3 linked regions of the Drosophila melanogaster genome follow. The protein of the gene in region 3 interacts with the protein of the main gene of each other region in a pairwise test. Each region holds a gene or a part of one and is shown on either strand. Other genes may lie near its edges.

Region 1 (6,645 bases), on a different chromosome or scaffold from region 3:
ATGGAGCGGGAGACGCTGCGCGTTATCAAGTACGATCTGGGCATCCCGCTCTCGTACCGTTTCCTGCGCCGCTATGCCCGATGCGCCAAGGTGCCTATGCCCACGCTGACCCTGGCTCGATACATCCTGGAATTGTCGCTCATGGATTACGCCAATATTTCGTTCAGTGACTCGCAGATGGCTTCGGCCGCACTGTTCATGGCACTGCGTATGCACGGCGGTCCGGGGCAGCTGGACAAGCAGACGTGGACATCGACGCTTATCTACTACACCGGCTATCAATTGGCGGACTTTGCTGAAATTGTGACCGCGCTCAATGCAGGACTGCATCGCAAGCCACGGGCCACCATCAAGACGATACGGAACAAGTACTCGCACAAAATATTCCACGAGGTGGCCAAGGTGCCGCTGCTGACGAACCAGGAGCTCTTCCAGGGCAACCTTGACCTGAACGAAAGCAATCTGTCGTAGGACAGCCTCAAAGTTTAGCCAAATTCAACATGATACGATACGCTTCACTTAGGCTCTAAGACGCTTCTATTCCCAATATTAGCCCCATCCCGACGAAACAGCGGATCCCCGCCTTAATCTAAAAACCCCTGATTTTACCCCTTACCTAGTGTTCCCGTCAAGTCCTCGCAATTTATTATATTTTAATTATTATTGTGACCTTCGCATTATTGACATGTTTTTTGCATAAATATTATGTTAAGAGTGCTTTTGTTTCTTTTTGCCATGTATTATTGTTTAATTTTCCCACATACCGCATACGTAGCCGAACACAATCAATCTAAACTCGAAAGGCGACATTATCTTTAGCACCCCCACCCAAAAAATCCCAAAACGATTCATGTTTTAATATGTACGTTAGTCTTAAGAGATGCCAGCATTAAATAAACCTAACTCGTAAGCCACCAAAGCAGACACGGATCCCCACTAACTTATTCTACACAGATACACAAACGCAAGGATACGAAGCGACTATGAAAGGCACGTGTGTCCCGTACAACCTGGAAATGCGCTGCGATCAACCCTCGTCCCGTGCACGCCATGTACGCCATGTGCATCTGTTCCTGTCGTCGTTATTAATGCTGTTATTTGTTAAGTCGTTCATGGACTCCCCTCCTTGCGCTCACATTCCCGCCCCTCGAAGGACGCTCACCATCAACTTCCCAGTTCCTGATCATACCGCCCCGCCCCGCCCTGCCTCAGTTCACCTCGTTTATCCATGGATGGTTGATAACGTTGCATTGTTGAAGTAACTAGTTATGTATGTACTCAGTGTTATGTATGTATCGTTTTGCGAGAGAATACCAATAAACATTTTTACGTCCGTTCAAAAATACTTCAATCTTTTTACCATCATTACATTCGGAAAACGGTGGGCGAAGTGAAAAAATTCTTACTTTTAATAGGGTAAGTGCAATAAATTCGTATTTTTATTTTTCTTTCTAGAAAACTCTTTTAAAAACCTGATGGAAGTTTCAAAATCGGGTGAGTATTAACTCAGATATAACTAGTTGAATGCAATTGTAGTATCATTAGTGTTTATGTTTACTTTAAATAAGTATTTTAAATTAGCTGTCTTTATCCAGCATGTTGGAAATGATCCTAGTTCCTAGGGGATTAAATAATTTAGGGCATTATTTTCAATTTCCTAGAATCTGGAATGTATGTATTTGTTGCAGTTCAATCTTTAATTGTTAGAAACAGAGCATAAACTCCTAGATGTCAAAGGTTAAGGGAAAACGTTTAGCACATCTAGACTTCTTTGCCGTGAGTATACCCATTACCCCACCCATTCTAATTCCTTTGTTTCGAATCCTCTCAGCTGAATCTGTGCTCCTTTCTCCGCGCTCATCATAGAACAGCTGATGGCTGATGACCTAAGGACATCAAACCCTGGCTGGAATCGGTTCGATTTGCTACAGGTAAAAACCACCGATACCGTCCGTCCAAATCATTCATAATCCATGAGTGTAAGTGTCTGTCTGTATACTCGTAGTCTGTATACCCCGGGCATGATTCTCTCGAGTTTCCTGCGGTTCCTTGCTTTTGGCGCGCTCGTCCGTCATTTTAGCGCCAAAAATTTGTTAAGGATTTGCGCGGCAGGCTGCGCATGCGCCGCAAGACATCAAGACGTCGTCCCTTGGTTGGGTTCCTTTCCTTTCCTTCGGCCCTCTCTTTTCCGCTGCACAGCGAAACCCAGCCGATTTATGTCGCTGCAGTTGGGTCCAGCGAAGGGCACCAGGAGTACCAATACCAGTAACAGCGTCTCTCTCTGACGCTGATTTTCTACCACCACCTTTGGCTCGCCCAGAGTCCTGCCTTTGTGCGTTCCCTTTTTTTCGGCTGCCTGCCAGCCAGGTAGCTCCTGTCGTCTTCGATTGTGTCCACGCCGGATAAAAGAAGCGGCATTGCCATAAGAATAAGGAAAAGAATAAGGATGGGATGTGAATGTCTTGGGTTAGCTGTCTGTATGGGAGCAGAATGCCGAGTGCATGTGCTTTATTTTTTCCGGTTCAAGGTGCAACTGGTAACTGGCCAGCATTGCTAATTATCTTGGTTGGGTGTGCAGAAATCAAGTTTATTTCGCAGGGACACACAGGATGATAGGCAAAGACAGCTGCCTCTGGCCAAGGAGGCAGCAGCGAAGTTATGACTACGACTCGGATTACTTCACGCCCCACCAACACCATTACCACTACCACCACCACCGAGGTCCACCCATGATGTCGGCCAGCTTCAGTAGGCCGGCGAGTTGAAGGCACCGTTGTATCCGCCCCCATATCCACTGCCATAGCCAAAGGCATTGTGATTGTTCAGCACTCCAAATGGTCCCTTGTGGACGCCATCCTCCTTGTACTCGGTGTTCATCGAGAAATGATGGTCCCAATGGCTCGGATCAGCGGGATTGTGAGCCGGATAGCGATGATAGTTCATGCCGCTGGTGGCAGGAGCCTGACCAGCTGCTCCGGGCACTCCTGCCACTCCAGGTGCTCCCGGAACTCCAGCTACTCCAGGAACTCCTGGTTGAGCCACAGCTCCGGGTAGCACTCCATAGGCGGGGAACTGGGCTGGTTGAGGGTACGCTGGGTACTGTGGCAAGTATACTCCGGGGTAGGGATAGCCAGGATAGGCACCAGTTCCCGGGAAGTAACCAGGTGCTCCTGCACCCACTGGCTGCTGGGGAGGAACTCCCACCGGATACTGAGCAGGAACTGCTCCAGCAACAGGATAGCCAGGAGGAGAAACAGCACCTAAAAAGGGGACATTTCATTAATATCATAATTTCATATATATTTCAAAATGTGGATTTGCTATTCACCAATCTTTTAAATTTTGTATAACTTTTTTGGGAGTTAAGACTTGATATTAGTTTTCTGATTTCACTAAGATAAATGAACCACCTATTAGAAGGACCTACCTGCACTTTGGTAACCACCGGATGATGAGGATCCTCCTGAAGAGCCTCCTGCAGCTGGGTACGGAACTGGAGCCTGTTGTCCAGGAAAACCCGGAGGCGGATAAGCGGGAATCTGGTGACCTCCTGTAATTGTGAGTGCCGGATTTGGTGACTGGTTGCCAGGAAAAACAACGGAGTTCGTACTGGCCACTCGTACGCCAGAGCCACCCTGCTCATGGCCATGGGCATCGTCGATGGATCCAGTTGCGCCCGCATAACCCGATCCCAGCTGACCAAGGCCAGGATAAAGTTGCGAATTGAGATTGGCCCGCTGGCGATGGCGACTGCTGGTAATGCCTCCCGTCAGAGTGGAGGCCAGGTTAAACTCCGTCTTCTGATCCTCCTGACTTTCGTCCCTGCTGAATTGCGAGGCCTGACCGCTGGCTATCTGGATGAGGGCCAGAGCGGCGAATGCGATGACCCTCCTGCTTAACATGGCGTCTTTGGGTACACTAAAGCCCAGAAGCTCACGGCGCGTGTATTTCATGGTGAGATCTGATGACACGAGAGCTTAGCTGAGTGTCTATTTTTGGGGTTATCATCAGGGGCTCAATGCCCAGATATGTAGTTTAAGTCTCATTGAGTGTTCTTTCTAGTAAATTGAATGAGAGAGTCTACACTGAAAGCAAAAGTTGAAAATATAACACAACAATGTGCATATGCATAGATACTAGCCATAAATTTGAACAAATAAATGAATTTTTTAAAGAAATACCCATATACAAATTTATAAATATAAATGTTATATATAAATTTCTTGCAATGTATAAATTTGCGGCCTAAAGCCAAGTAATAGATAAGTTGAGACGCATTTTTGGTTTAGGGATTTCCCAAGCAATTCATAACTCATCTTTGCATAGATGATGATCATGAGTTATGATCCTCCCTTTATATAGAGAACGAAAGCTTTCCCAGTCAACCTTGTTTACCAGTCAATAGATTAGTATTATAAGTACATATGTACATATAGCATTTGTTCCATTACCCAAGGTTCTTCCACTCGATTCCATTCATCTTTCTTATCGCCATGTGCTGCTGCTGGCTATAAAAGCCGCATGGACATTGGGACTATCAGCAAAATTGCTCTACATATCCCAAGATGCAGTTGTTGGCTGCGATTCTAGTGCTAATCCTGGCCAGCTTGGCCCACGGTAGACCCACTTTCGATAAGATTGCGGAGCTTCTGTTCGGCGACCCAAATCATTATCCGCCAGCAAGGCCAGTTGATCCACAGCTACATCCTGGACCAGGTCCACTCATCCAGGAGGGCTACGAGCAGGGCTACGACTATCACTATGGTGGAGGCTACGGCTACGGTGGTAGCCACCAGCAGACGCATCCAGGTGGCTATGCCTATTACCCACCACGACCGGTTCCGGCAGCAAATGACTACTATCCACCACCTTGGTCAGTGCGTCCTTCGCCTGGATACTACTCTCAGCCGTCTCATCCTGCCAGTGTCCATTATCCGCACAAGAATCAGGATCTTTACGGAGGTGGAGGTGGTTACAAGCAGCGGGGTTACTAACGTTCATCCGTCAGATACCCCAGTCTCATCCAATCATGTGCTGTCTCATTTGTTTATGTGTAATTTATTAAAATTTCGTTTATTTCCAACGAGCTTTTAGAACCTGTTTTGAACTTATGACAAAGACGATCTCGGGTGGAGCAATTGAACAATGGTCTACGAATATATATACAACAAGTGTGAATCGGGGAACTCCCTCTTAGAAGATTCATCTTCGTCTCACATCAATGGGAATTGAGGGAACCTCCGGGTTTGGCACATGGATATATTTGCTAGAGCTGGGGAATATAATAGCACGATTTTCGGAGAGTTCGTCCAATGGTTTTGGCAATGGCTCCGGCACGATCCAAGTGGGAAAAGTGGGCGTGGGTGGATCCGGATTATGGGGCGGCACCAACGGCGGTCGATTGGTTCCTATTATGAGCGTATCCTTCGTTGGCTGAGCGGTTGGACGTGGCTGGATCGTGGGAAAGGTGGGCTCTGGCTTAGGTGTTGTCGTTGGAAAGATGGGTCCTGGTATTGGCGTTTGTGGAGTGGTGCTAGACTCATTATCTGGATTCCAATTCGTGTTTGGATCATTGGGATCCGGCTGATCGGGGAGGCGTGGATAGTTATCCCATTCCTGTTCCATCCCTCCATTCCAGCCTGGCCTTGGTGGCGGAGGTCCTCCGCCATTCCATCCTGGCCTTGGTGGCGGTGGCCCTCCTCCATTCCAGCCTGGCATCGGTGGTGGTGGCCCGCCGCCGTTCCATCCTGGTCTTGGCGGCGGTGGTCCGCCGCCGTTAAAACCTGGTCTTGGTGGAGGTCCTCTTCCACCGCCTCCGTTCCATCCTGGACCATTCCATCCTGGTCCTTGCCCTCCACCTCCATTCCAGCCTGGTGCAAATCCTGTTTGAACCCAGTCAAATCCGGGTTGATTCTGATTTCCACCGGCTCCCCACTGCCAGCCGGGTGGCCAGCCAGGAGGCGTCGGTTGCTGACGGTTGGGTGGTGCAAATCCTGGTCTGTGCATTCCTCCTCGATTCGGACCCATCCCCGGCCTTCCTTGCTGCAGTCTCTCGAACTGCGGCTGCTGGTTGAAGCGGTTGTTGTTGTGCATGGCATTGATCAGTCCATTGATAACTCCGAAACCGGGCAGCTGGGCCACCACAGTGACGCCACCGGCGGAGGCAACAGCTCCGCCGGCGGAGGACGAGGAGACTGCAAATTGCGCGAGACACGTGCGTATCCAGATGGATGCCAAAAGCCAGACGAGCCAGGCCTGGCCAGCACACCAAGCTGGCGAAGATCGCGTCATGTTCGGGTGTTCGAGCAGTGATCACCACAAAAGGCGGACTCTAACTGAGGGGGAACTTTTACGCTCCGCCTATGCGATAATCGTTGATGCTTGATTAAACATTGAAAACCTGTCCGGCGATCAGTGAGAGCATGATGAAAATCAGTGTCCGCAACCAGAGAGATCTTAACCGCTCTCCAAAATAGGTCTCAGAGAGATGATCATAATAATAATCAGACGAAAAGTAAACAAACACCTGAAGCTTGAAAACAAAAATTGAGATACATATATAGTATGTAGTATACAGATTGAAGTATAAAAGAATAAGAGATACAGGCGATGAAAGAGATACTTCAAGTGATGAAAAATCCATAA
Region 2 (7,580 bases), on a different chromosome or scaffold from region 3:
AAACAGATTGTTTAACATGGACAGCAGGGTAAAACAAAGAAATGCGTGGCATGTAAATAAATTAAATTTGGAACGACAGCAACAACAATCAAAACGCCCTACAAGCGCAGCTTTCAACGGAATCAAAACACGATTAAAAGTATCCAAAGTTCGGGGAAAACAGAGGAAGATATTAAATTTTCTATACTAAGCCTACTGAGGCGTTTCAATAAATGGTTTTTGCATACATGGTTTATTTTATTTGATTTCTGATTTCCTGCTCTTTTATTGCATTATTGTTTTGCTGAATATATAAAACATACCATTGGAGCACTCCCACTTCTTTGAAATGCTTTACAAAATTGAAATCCCTCAGCATTCTGAAATCAAGAACTCGCACTTCGCCACTTCATTTGACAACACTGATTGCTGAGTATTGATAAGTCTACCCCTTGGCAGCCCCGACCCTGCGGAATATCATATTCCCACATTTGTATTGGGGCCAAACGGCTGTGTTCGCAACGAATCAAAATCAAATCAGAAACAACATTCAAGTGGGTTGAAGGGGGAATGAAAACAGACATTGAAAGAATCCGCTGGAAATTGAAACAATTGAAAAAACGTTGTCGTTGATCGCTTGACAGTTGAATGCGATAATTTCAAATCGAATCAATTGAATATTGTCACAATTAATTTATTTATGAGATACACTCGAAATATCACCATTGATTTTCATTGTTGCTGTGGCTGATTGTTGCTTAAGTTTGAGTTGTCTGGTTGGTTTCAGATTTTGATATTTCTGAAGCATATTTTTTGTGAATAATGTTAGTCATTTCGCTTTGTCAGCGATTTTTTTATATGTACATACATACGTACATATGCACACATATTCATTTATATATGCATTTGAGTTGCTCATTGAATGGCAATTGATTTTTGTTATACACATTGTTGGTACAAATGTGATTTTTATTGATTTTTAATTTTCAGCTTGGGTGTTTTATGACTGTTGCCGGCGACTGTTTTATTAAGGCTTGCCCAATCAAGTTATTTACCCCACCCCTCGTGAAATTGAAATTTGCTTTTGATTTGATTTTTTAGGCTGAATACGAATCGCTGCATACAAATTGAGTGCGCTTAAAATGCAACAAGCAATGCAAATTAATAGTACTAATTTGAATTTCAAATGTGTTAGGTGAGATGGGGAAACCCAGATTTCTTCGAGTGCATCCAGAAAAAATTGAGAGCACATTAAAATACCTTTTGTCTAAAATAAAACTAATTAAAATATTTTTAAAGAATAACCTATAAGATTTTATTTATTTATTTGCCTAGAACCTTACATTTAATATCAATGATACTTATAAGAAGCAGTTCAATTCTCAGAATTAAAAACTCCTTTAGTCCCATTTCTAAGTAAGAACTATAAAATTAAGAGAATTAGACCTTGTTATGGTTTCCGGAATTTGCCACTCAGCCTTATGTAAATATAATTGAAAACCTAGTGGAGCATTATCAGCAATATTTATGACCCATATGTGAGCTAGCCAAACAGCGCAGATAACCGAAGCGAAATTATGGCCCAACAAAAAGTTTTCCAGCTGTAAAAGAGTTTGTTTCAAAAGAAAAGATTCGTGGTTTATGCTTCTAAAAATTGTTTTTTCTTGTATATTTCTCAGTTTTATACGAATGTGTTGCATGTAGTTTAAGTTATTTTTGTTTGATATTCCGTGGCTTCTTGTGTAGATCGTATTGTGGTTTGCGTACATCAAGGAGTAAATAGCAAATCTAGTTTATATTTATAGAATTTACACACAGTACATAATTATATGAAATATTCATTTTTATTTTTCGTAATTATTATTATTTTTTTTTAATTTTTTATCTCTGATTGGTTGGTATTACAAATATTCATTACACTTACTTTAAATATAAGTTGACTTAAAGAACATTATTTCAATTGTTGGTTTGTTGTATGCTTGCAGATAATCGTAATAATAGTTAATAGAACTTAAAGCGAAGTTAAACTAAAACAATGTTTGAACATCTCAGCAATGGGTTCTTCATTAACAAAATTGGAAGTTGTAGAATGTGTTCTGGCTAAGACTTAAAAAACTTTGGTTGAACTTTGAGAACAAATAAGAGTGAGTGAACTTCGTGTTGGCTGCACTTCTTTTTACCTAACAATGTAGACATTTACGATGATAGAAGAGAGTGATCCTGCTATTTTTGCGGCTACTACTGTTCTTTAGGTGGTTGATTATTTTCTGTTTGCGAAACTTAAGTGTAACTAGCGCTCTTTAAACTACAGTTTAGTATCACAGAATAGCGCAAAAGCCAGAGATGTGTCAGCCTTTGCAATCGTTTTGTGCTTTTATCTTTTTTGTTTTCCATGAAAGTATCTCAAACAGGGTTTGGAAATGGTTTCATTCTATATCTCTGGTTGTCTCTTCAACGTAATCCCCTTTTTTTTGGTATTTAACTCTTGTGGAAGTCACTTTACTGATGAGCCGCTCCCATCCTCTGGCCGTACATGGCGTATGGCGAGTAGTAGGGTCCCAGAGCAGCTGCCGCAGCCGCCGCGGCAGGATTGAATGCTCCAGCGGCGCCGAAGGGCGAAGGTCCTCCAGCCAAGGCGCCTGGTGGTGGCTTGGCGTATGGATGATACCTCGCCGCTGCCGCAGCCGCTGACATGGGACTCAGTGGTGGTGTTGGATAGCCAGCTCGGAGAGCCGATGGCGGAAATAGGGTTCCCAGCAGGGATTGAGCCTGCGATTGGGCCAAGGCCGCCGCAGCAGCCGCCGGATCGGAGAGATTGCCCGTATGGGTGCGCAGGTGGGAGAAGAGCTCGTCGGAGGTCTGGAATCGCTTGCCGCAGTAGGCATCGCCCACCACCCAACTGCACACGTAGGGTGCCGAACGGGCTGCCGCCGCGTTTGCCGCAGCAGCGGCCGCTGCCTGCGAGTATGGATGAGCTGGTGGCAGTCCGGCGGCACTGGCCATGGCCAGGCCGTATTTCTGATGCTCGCACTGGGTGCATCCGGCGGGGCAGGGGGCACCCATGAGCATTTGTTGCGTGTGCGCCGAGTAGGGACATCCCTGGCAATACGGATCCTTGCAGACTGGCACTATAGCCTCGCCGCCAGCTGGTGTCTTGATGCGCTGATAACTTATGTACGGATTGGGCTGTCCGGCTGGTCCACCGCCGGGAGCTCCGCCTGGATATCCTCCATTGGCGGCAACTGCCAACATGGCGGCGTGATGGTGTGAGAATCCTCCGGCAAACGGTGGCCGGAAAGCGGGATTGGCGTGCTGCTCCATTCCGGGCGGGCAGCACAGGGCGGACAGGGGATTCAGCCCATAGGGTCCGGCGGCCTTGTAAGCCGCTGCTGCTGCTGCTGCCGCCGCAGCCATGCTGCTCATTTCCTTGGGATGCTGGGCGGTTCCGTTGGCATTGTTCAGCACCTCCATGCCGGAGCGCACAATGGGACTGGCGCCGCGTTGCGACGATCCCGACGGGGAGACAGTCTTTCGGCTGGATGAGGAATCGTGCGCGGAAATCTCCGCCTTGCCGCCATCTGTGGGCGTGGCATTTGATTTGCTGCGCGATGGCACACGCTCCTGGGCGGATGAGGAGTTCTTAGAGCTGGGACGCGTGGGTTCCGCATCCAGCGAAGAGCTGCTCTTGAAGGAGTTCTGGTTCTGGTGGCTCAGCACATTGGTCTCGTAGGGCTTGAAGGCCAGTTTGATTTCACCGGTGCTGGTATTACTCAGACTTGCGCTGGTTGCCGTCGAGCTGATTGGAGTGCTCGACTTGGGCGATTTGGCCTGGCCGGAGGGTGACTTGGCTGCCGAGATCTCAGCACTGCCCGAGGAACTCGACGAGTTCGACGACGAGGAGCATGCTCCGGGCTTTGTCTTGTTCTTGTCCATTGCCAGCAGGGGTTTCACTGCCGACGAATCCGCTCCAATTTGGGAGCAAGTCTGTGCGAGCAGAGCCAAGGGACTCTTTTTGGCGTCCATCTGTTATGAATAAAATGAAAATGTGGAGTTGGAATTAGGTTTTTTGTAATTTTAAAGTTTTTTACGAGTTTTAAGATAATATTGATTTTAATTTGGTGAGAAGTTAAAACTATGAGAAAATGCAATTTCTTCCAAAGAAAGTTTGTTCGTGAAAGTATTAATGACGATATAAATTTTTAGATTTGAAAAATTGTTTGATGTTATGAACTTTCCAAATTTAATTCTTAAGTACGCAAAATTTAAAACCATAGATTTTACGGCCATCCCAAAATTTTACAGCTTTTAACTTAGTCAATACTAACCGTCGTTGGCAATGGGGCCAGATAATCCGGTTGAAGGTACTGGTTGTTACCGATGGTAACAACGCCGCCGCCTCCTTCCAAGACAACCATATCAGTTGCTTAGTGTGTTTTCTCGAGGGTAATCCACGTGAGTTGCGAGACAAGGCTACAAATGCGTAGCTTTGCTTCGGCGACGATGAGGTTAATCCACAGAAATGCGTCGGCAAACGTTGGTAAATCCAAAGAAAATCGGCGATTTAACACACTTGTAGTTTTGAGCAGAGAATTTATCTCTGTAGCACTATTTCAATTTGCTGGCCAAGCGATTTGTGTTTTGGCTCTGATTTCACTTTTTCACTCGAAACGAAACACTCTCGATCAGTGACCACAGTTGACTGAGGTTTCTTATTTTTGTTGGTTATATCTCTTGTCACTCGAATGGTTTTCAGGTTTTTCCGAACACGTCTGAACGCTGCGAAGTCAAAATTCGAATTGAATTCAACGACTGCGGCAGCGAGCGTAACTGCCCTCGCAGCGAAGCGTTCGCTCACTCGCGAGAGAGCGCTCTCCGGCGAGCAGCGCTGCACACTTTGGCTTGCTGCCTGCGTTAGAGGAGCACCGCCTGCTGCATGCGAGCGAGATGCACTGTGCGTAATTTTCAAATATGGCGTACTTTTTGTCCAATCACAATCGCATGCGCCTTGCAATGGAAGCCAAGACAGGTTTTCTCTCTCTCGCTCTCCGATTTGGCTTCCTGTAAAATCATAATAATATGGCTGCACCACGGCAACACTCGTCCAGAGAGCAACAGTTGAGCGCTGAGAGCGCCGCTCAGTGAGTTGTTGTTGTTGTGGCTGCTTTGGGGGGCACATTAATTTTATCTTGGCACATATGTCACGCTCACTCTCCCTCTCTGTGTCTCTCTGGGGGAACTTTTTCTTGATGGGGCTGTCAGCAGCAGCAGCGCTGCAGTGGTGGCGGCAGCGGCGCGGCAGAGGCCTCATTGTCTTCGCACCGAGATTTGTTGCTCGGAAAAGCAAACCACTCAACACTTAAACACACTCTTCAACCATTTCCATCGCCTCGCTTCGCTCGTTTTAATGTCATATAAAAATTAATTTGTTTGTCGCTCTCCCGCTCTGGCACTTCACCTCTCTCCCTCTGACCCGCTCACTCGCACAGCTGTTGTTGTGGCCTTTGTTTAGCGTTTTTCGATTAACTTCTGCGGTTGGTTTTCCCTCTTTTTTTTCGTGGCTCCTGTTTTGCTGTTTAAGTGGAAATCGTTGTTTTGTTGTCGCGTCGAAAAGTTTTTCCAAGCAATTTTTCCTCCTTCCTTGGTGTGTGTGTAATTAATCTGCACATATCAAACAAGCGAATGTGTGTTGTGGCATGTTGCACTCAGAGAGTTGGTAATAGTTTAATGGTTTGGTTAACTCCGCTGCATTTTTAATCGCTCTACAATTGGATTGAATTTTCCAGTTAGCACTTGCCTAACTTACTTATTTACGTTTCGCACGAAATCGCGTTAATCACGTTGCTTGGTTTCAAGATAATTACTGAATACTAATAATGTTTAATTGCAAAACGAGGCTGATTTATATTAAATTATTAAGAGCTAATAATAGGCTAGCTCCTTCTAAACATAATTGATTACTATTATTTAAGTAGTTAGAAAATATTATGTGACTAATCATTTAGATTTTGTTGATCTAGATCATTCTAGCCACTTTACCTAACCGATATTAAAACTCCAACGTAATCCCAACCAAATCGGTTGGACTAACCATAAACTATGTATCAAGATGTTTAACTCAAGCCCCGAGGGGATTTTGGAATATCTGGCCCTTGGGATATGTTACCTAATCACCAAGCTGAGTTTTAAGAACCCTTCAAAGCCCCTGGCAAGTAAATTAAAATCTGTATAAATATGGACGATAAGCCGAAAACCCAGAAGCGACACTTTTAATCCCGATTTAGAGTGTTTAGACATTTTTCTGTGGGAATCCCTAAGCCGAAACCCGGCAGCGAAATACCTTCGAGGCTAAAACAGGTAGAGGAAACACTCTCGGCCTTCGGCGAAATGATGGATTTATTAGTTAAGAGCGTGCTGCGATACTTTACGATACGGCTTAGACATAATTTGCGGTTTTGCGTGCAACAAAGCGAAAAAAGTGTTGCCAAAATAATGTATATACGTGTATATATGCATGTATACTGCTGCAGAGTTGGAGAGTTTACGCACACGTTCCATAGCATTTTCTCTTATTATTTGTTATTTTTTATGGCCACTTTGTCAGCGTCATAAATTCGCTGCTCCTGTATGTGAATTATTTACTAGCAAATTGCGGGAGTGGGCTGAAGGTAAATTCAAACCAGTGGCCGGGGGTGTCATATAAATAATACAAAAATATTATAAATTACACGAAGCCGAAGAAATTGCCAAGCGGAAGTGCGGAACACCTTGATACCGTGACTAAAGCGATTTGCTTTCAGACTAATGCTCACCCTGCAGCATTTCAGCGTTGATAACTTCATTTTATTCAAAAGGAGGTCGTGTAGCGAAGATTACAAATATAAAAAAAAGCGTAATTTAAATTACAAGGTACGCAGTTAAAGATGCAGCAGTTCTATTAGGTTAACAATAATAAGATCTGAAATAAAAAACTATATTGAGCTTCTAGTTATATAGTGCATCAGAGTCCTTTAAGACTAAAAATCTCGTTTTATGCAACTATAAGGAGTTTCGAATTCGAATACTCTCGATATCTTCGCCAAAGTTGTAAAGGAAAGCGCCGAGAGATATCCAAATGTAGTGGGAAAAATTTGTAGCCGCGAAAACATTTATATGGGGAATATAAAAAGGAAGTATACTGGATGCCACAACAACAACTACAACAACAAGAGCAAGAACAACAAGCGGCGGAATGGCAGAGGCAGCACATAAAATTAACCACATATTTCTTCATTTTTATGGCATTTATTATCACAGAAATGTTTGTGTGATAAAAGCGAAGCAGCGCAAAAGGCGAACGACGACGATGGCGGCGCAGTCATAAAAATGCAGCCATTTACCTTTTGATTTATGCACACCAGTGGGTGGCGGCGGGTGGTGGATGGTTTGCCTGCGGCAAGAGTGGGTGGCACGCATGCAGAGCAACTGGCGGGCGAAAGGAGCGAAAAATAATGCAATAAATTTGACATTATCTCCGGCAATATGAAGGTATATATATATCCGTGAAGTGGTTGCCACTGGTAAGGGAAAGTCGTTTAACTGTCTGCGGATTTTTAGTTGACTTA
Region 3 (5,144 bases):
TAAGAGAGGCGCTGGAGCAAATACAGGTTGTGGTGGAGCAAATGCTGGTGGTGGAGCCACCGCAGGAAGCAAAGGAGCTGGCGGAGGAAGGACCGATTCCTGCACCGCGTAATCCAAGTGGTGCGGCAGAGCATGCAGAGAATCCAAGTGGCTCAGATGATGTCCGTCAAAGTGGTTGACATGGTGGGGATCGAAGTGATTGTAGTGAAGATGAGAGGGCTTTGCCTCACCACCCACCAGCAGGAAAGCCAATGCAAAGGCCTAAAAATATTTAGGTTACCTATTAATATCTTTGGTCAAAAGAACTTTGCAGTCCTTACCCATGTCAGTTGCCACATCTTGCTTGGGGGATTTGAAGTTCGGTTTCTTTGGGGCAGTAGCTTCTCGATCGATGTGCTCGACCTGTTGGTTCGGCTGCTAATGTCTTTGCATTGTCAAATTAAATTAATATTTATAGCGAATTGAAGGCGGTACGCAATCAAAAGACTTGCACTTGCATTTCTTCACTTTCGACGACGACTTGGCCCACTCACCTAACTTAATGGGTTGCATCATTTGGAGGGAGGCAACCCAATCCCATTTAGTTGGTCAGCAAGTCGTGACTGAGACGGCGACTGCGAATGGCACTGCCTTCGATCGAGGGGCCAATAACTTCTTGGGCGATTCGAAAGCACGGCCCATGATTATATAACATGGGGCCAACCAAGCCCAGGCATTGACAGTTGCCCATGAGTGGAATATGATTATGATAATCCATAAATATTGCTTTGACCATAAATAACAATCGATATTGCGCCTTAGGTGACAACGCAATCACAACAAATATTGTTTACATGGTGACCAAGTTGTCTGACTTTAACTTCCCTAAGTCCCTAACTTATGTATGTTGCTACTTTGTCAATATTATCTTTAAAATTCAATGCAGCTGTTAGAAAAAATTCCATTAAAAATTAAATGCAGACCTATAATTTATGCATAATTTGTATTAAATGATATCCACCAATAAACAAGCTTATTTTGCATATCAAAGAAATGAGTGAGAAACGAGAAATTCAGAGCATTAAATGGAAAGTTCTAAAGTTTCTAAAAAAAAATTAAATAACTTCCTCTATCTGAAATCTGGAAATATATGGATGCTTAATAAAACCACTTGCACAAAAGGAATCATCTAATCAAAAATTGATCATAGTTAAGTAAAGAAGTTATTTTATATTTTCTTAAGAAATATATATATATTGACCCAATCGAAATGAGCGTCCAATTGAATTTTCATGAACCAAAAATATCCGATAAATAATAGTACTTTCGTTTTTCGTTAATTATTCAAGGCATTTCTGCAAATAATAAGATGGTGCGCTCTAATTGTTGGTTCGTAATTTATTATCAGTTTTTTTTTTTGTTTATCAAAAATTTCCTATAGTTTGGCCTGCTTCACAGGTGTGTCCTTAGACCACCACTGGAGCTGGAGCAGCAGCGGCGATGGGAGCAGCATAGGATGCAGCGTAGGGAGCGGCGTAGGGAGATGCCAGGTAGGGTGCAGCGTAGGGCGAGGCATAGGGATAGGCGGAGTAGGCAGCGGCGGCATAGGGAGCAGCGGCCAGAGGAGCAGCAACGGGAGCAGCGGCCAGAGGAGCAGCGACGGGAGCAGCCAGAGGAGCAGAGTAGGCGGCGGCCAGAGGAGCAGCAGCGTACTTGGCCACCACGGCGGGGGCAGCTGGGATTCCGGACACATAGCGGCTGGAGTAGGGGCCGGCGAACTCGAACGGAGCGGTGGTGTAGGAGGACAGGGTGCCGTCGTAGTTGTTGCGGACATCCACCTGGCTGCTGCCACCTGCGGCGTACAGAGGAGCATTAGCGTAGGCCAGGGGAGCAGCCAGAGGAGCAGCCAGTGGAGCTACAACTCCTGGTTTGGCCGCAGAGCAGGCGATGAGGGCAGCGAGAACCAACTGGAAAATAGGATAGGTAATCATTAACCACCTCTTAGTCCACATTGTTTGGGCGCTAATCCCCATAGGATCACTTACAAACTTGTACATATTGCTGTGGTTGGGTTTGTCTAAAGCACTTGAGCGATAATGTTCATTTGGAGCCAGACCAGTGGCTTATATAGCTCGTGCCCATATCCGTGCTCTTTGGGGGACATTCTGTCTGAGCCGATTTTTGGTCGCTTCTTCATTAGCTGGCCCACCTGGTCGAGTGCCAAGTAGCATACATGATCGCCATTTGGCCAAGACGTGCTCCGCCTTCAATTGCCCAATGGACTGTCGGAAGTTGTCCAAGTTGTCGCTTGAATATTTCGGTTGCACTTGGAAAAATATTTGAGCTTTGGTAAATATTATAAGAAAAGATATGATATAATTCTGATTTCAATGTATAAATATTTTATTTAAAATTTTTAACCTTAACTATTTAGTGCAGTGTATTTACATGCAGAGGTAAACTTTTTGTATAGCATACCAAGTTATAGTCTTTATAAAAATTTTTCCAAGTGCAGTGATCGACATTTGTATGCAATTGAAGACTGACTCGGTGGCCGGGCTGTCTTGTCGTAATTTGCAGTCTGTTTGGGCCATCAATGTGCGCCGCTTCGCATTGAATTGGCCGCAATCTAAGTCAAATTGGCCATAAAAATGGTACCCCTTCCTCAAAGGCCACGATTCCGGCCCACTAAGTGTCTCATTAGTTCACTTTTTAATGGCTTGCAGAGACGCCAATAAAAGGCGGTCGTAAATTTCCCTCTCATCCTAGCCGACGGGTCTTCATTTGTTTTCGTGTTGACCTGACCTTGACGCCACCTGGCCACAGGATGTGATGCACCCTCATCCTCATCCAGTGGGTCTCATCAATTCGCTTCAGCTTAATTGGCCAACAAGGCGCGGGGCCGAATGATCGAGCAGTCGAAACCTGCTTGCTAGCTGACTTAATGAGCCATCTCTCTCGGTCTCTCTCGGTCACGTGCTGGCCTGGTCAGCAGCATCGTCGTCATCTGATGGCTTGGTGTCTGCGATTTGCATTGTTTTACTCTTTATGATCGGGTACTTTTGCTACTTATGAATGTTTGTAAATTAGCATATTTTAGTGTCAATGACTTGGTAGAACAACCCATTAGGAGCATGATTTCAAAGAGCGAGTTTATGAAAAATCGAAGTTTTTCTGTAGTACAGTCACAAAATATTATACTCATACCGCTTACTAACAAATCGTATAGAGTATCTAAATGGTCGTTATTTTATAGCTGCTTCTGAAATCCGATACGATGATGACGCCGGTCTCAAGGTTGTCGCGATGACGAGTCGAGAGGGCGATATATATATATGTATATAAATGATATCTGGTGATCAAGTTGCCCCACGCATGTAACTGTATACTTTTCCATATATTCTGTATTCTGTATCCGCATTGTGGCCACTTTTGATCGGATTGATCCAATCTTGGCAGCAACCACAGCTAGTACATTCCAACTCCAAGGGTGACCTCTTCTCGTTCACTTGTTCACAATTTCTGGACAGGAATTCTCAACCGATGACGCGCCAATTTTCCGGTGACTCAAGCACGGAAATGAGTACATCTTTAACCATCTTCATCTTCATCTTCATAGACCATCGCCATCAACTTCTTGTCTTCAGCACTCCACTTCACAGCTGTGCGATCCGCTCACTTCCTAGTTAACCTTTTAAATTTATTTGCAATCTGATTTAGAGGCTCATCAGAAGCTTTATCCCTCTTAGGAATTGTTTGGCTGTCGTCAGTACCGTTTGCTTTAATTGATTTTTAAGCCCCAAATTTATGCAGACCATATTTCTAATTCCCGTTTTTGTTTTCGCGGGAAGCAGGTTCTATACGGCAGGCATAAATATGTCTAGATATATAGATAGATCCAGATCCCAGTTCCCAGTTCCGTTCCCAGATCTGATCAATGACACTTGACTTTAATTGGCTTTCATAAATATACGTCAAAAGTTAGTCGTTGTCTCGATTTCTTTTGTTTTCACAAGAGAATTCCGAATGCCAATGCCAAGTTTGAGGTCTCATTATGAGGCGCGGATGGAGATGGAGATCTCTTGGCCCGATTTGTGTGTATGTAAATAGCAACCATTAACCCATCGTAGGAGAGTGAAAGGTGTAAATCCAATGGACGAAGACCTCTTTTTTTTTTGTGTGTGCCCGCGTATTAACCTTCAAAACATTATGCAAATGCAGTCTCCATCGATGGCAATGAGACTAAAAATGGCCAATAAAAAGAGACTCAACCGAAAGGCTAAGCTTAGATGGCAAGTTTATTATCAATGTGTATTCACTAAGAGCAGAAGTCATCGCAGTTTGATGATCAGTCGGGATGGCTCTGGCTCTATTAAATGTATTGCTATTGCTATTCTATGGGCTAGGATTGCTGGACTAGCGCCTCTGGATCTGCGGTGTTCCATAGGAGGTTAGCCCCGTGGTTCTGGGCACACTGGCATATGGTGCCCCAGCCTGCAGCGGAAGTTGCGCCACATTCAGTGGAGCAATGCCAAAGGGCACTGGCAGCTTGAGATTCAGCGAGTTGGCATCCACGGAAGCGGAGGATATGGAACGACCTGTGGCCGATCCCGCAGCAGATGATACTCTGGCCACCTGCTGGGGCTGTGGTGCCGGGGGAGCCACCTGGAGGGCAGACGACGGTGCTCCAAATACGTAACCCTGGCTGGTCAGAGCCTGGGTGAAGGCGGCATGCTCCAAGGCGGGCTCGGCAAACTGTCGTGCCACTTGGGGATACTGCTGGTTCTGTTGGTACTGGTTCCTCTGGCTCCGCTGCACGGCTGGCCTGTTGGGAGCGGGATAGTGATAGTAACCCAGCTGGGTGCTGGGTGCTATCGAGTAATCCAGGTGTGAGACATCGGCCAGAGCCAAGCTCATGAGTTGCAGCAGAGTAATCCATACACAAGTCAACTGAAAGTGATTTGATAGGGTTAAACCTTGATAGCTCTTCACACACTAGATATTGCTCTCACATTGGGCGCCATTTCACTTCACTTTTCTTTGGGTTCCAGTTCTTGGGGTAAATGCAGTTTAAAGGCCAATATTTTTGCCGAATCTTATAATCGTTGATGTGCGCTGGCGCAGCTTTGGCAGCTGATTAAAATTTGTGAGCCAGCTGAAGATGC

The links. Proteins that work in one complex are often made in the same cells at the same time.
Region 1: the proteins of CG13047 (region 3) and Elal interact in a two-hybrid assay, tested with the Drosophila melanogaster proteins (one large-scale study listed by BioGRID).
Region 2: the proteins of CG13047 (region 3) and noc interact in a two-hybrid assay, tested with the Drosophila melanogaster proteins (one large-scale study listed by BioGRID).

Annotation. Positions count from the first base shown.
Region 1 is NT_033777.3:24,862,627-24,869,271, reverse strand, and holds Elal (Elastin-like), read right to left. Parts: upstream 3,923-6,645; 5' UTR 3,903-3,922; coding exon 3,428-3,902; intron 3,261-3,427; coding exon 2,746-3,260; 3' UTR 1,621-2,745; downstream 1-1,620. Other genes in the region: CycB3 (cyclin B3), read left to right, coding at 1-471; Srg1 (Sting-regulated gene 1), read left to right, coding at 4,566-4,994; CG7016 (uncharacterized protein), read right to left, coding at 5,203-6,291.
Region 2 is NT_033779.5:14,488,060-14,495,639, reverse strand, and holds noc (no ocelli), read right to left. Parts: upstream 4,782-7,580; 5' UTR 4,395-4,781; coding exon 4,305-4,394; intron 4,003-4,304; coding exon 2,479-4,002; 3' UTR 1,621-2,478; downstream 1-1,620. UniProt on the Drosophila melanogaster protein: May negatively regulate Notch-induced cell proliferation in the eye-head primordium. Required for development of the supraesophageal ganglion and ocelli.
Region 3 is NT_037436.4:16,283,320-16,288,463, forward strand, and holds CG13047 (uncharacterized protein), read right to left. Parts: upstream 2,078-5,144; 5' UTR 2,037-2,077; coding exon 2,025-2,036; intron 1,947-2,024; coding exon 1,446-1,946; 3' UTR 1,361-1,445; downstream 1-1,360. Other genes in the region: CG13048 (uncharacterized protein), read right to left, coding at 1-261, 321-338; CG13046 (uncharacterized protein), read right to left, coding at 4,396-4,929, 4,992-5,003.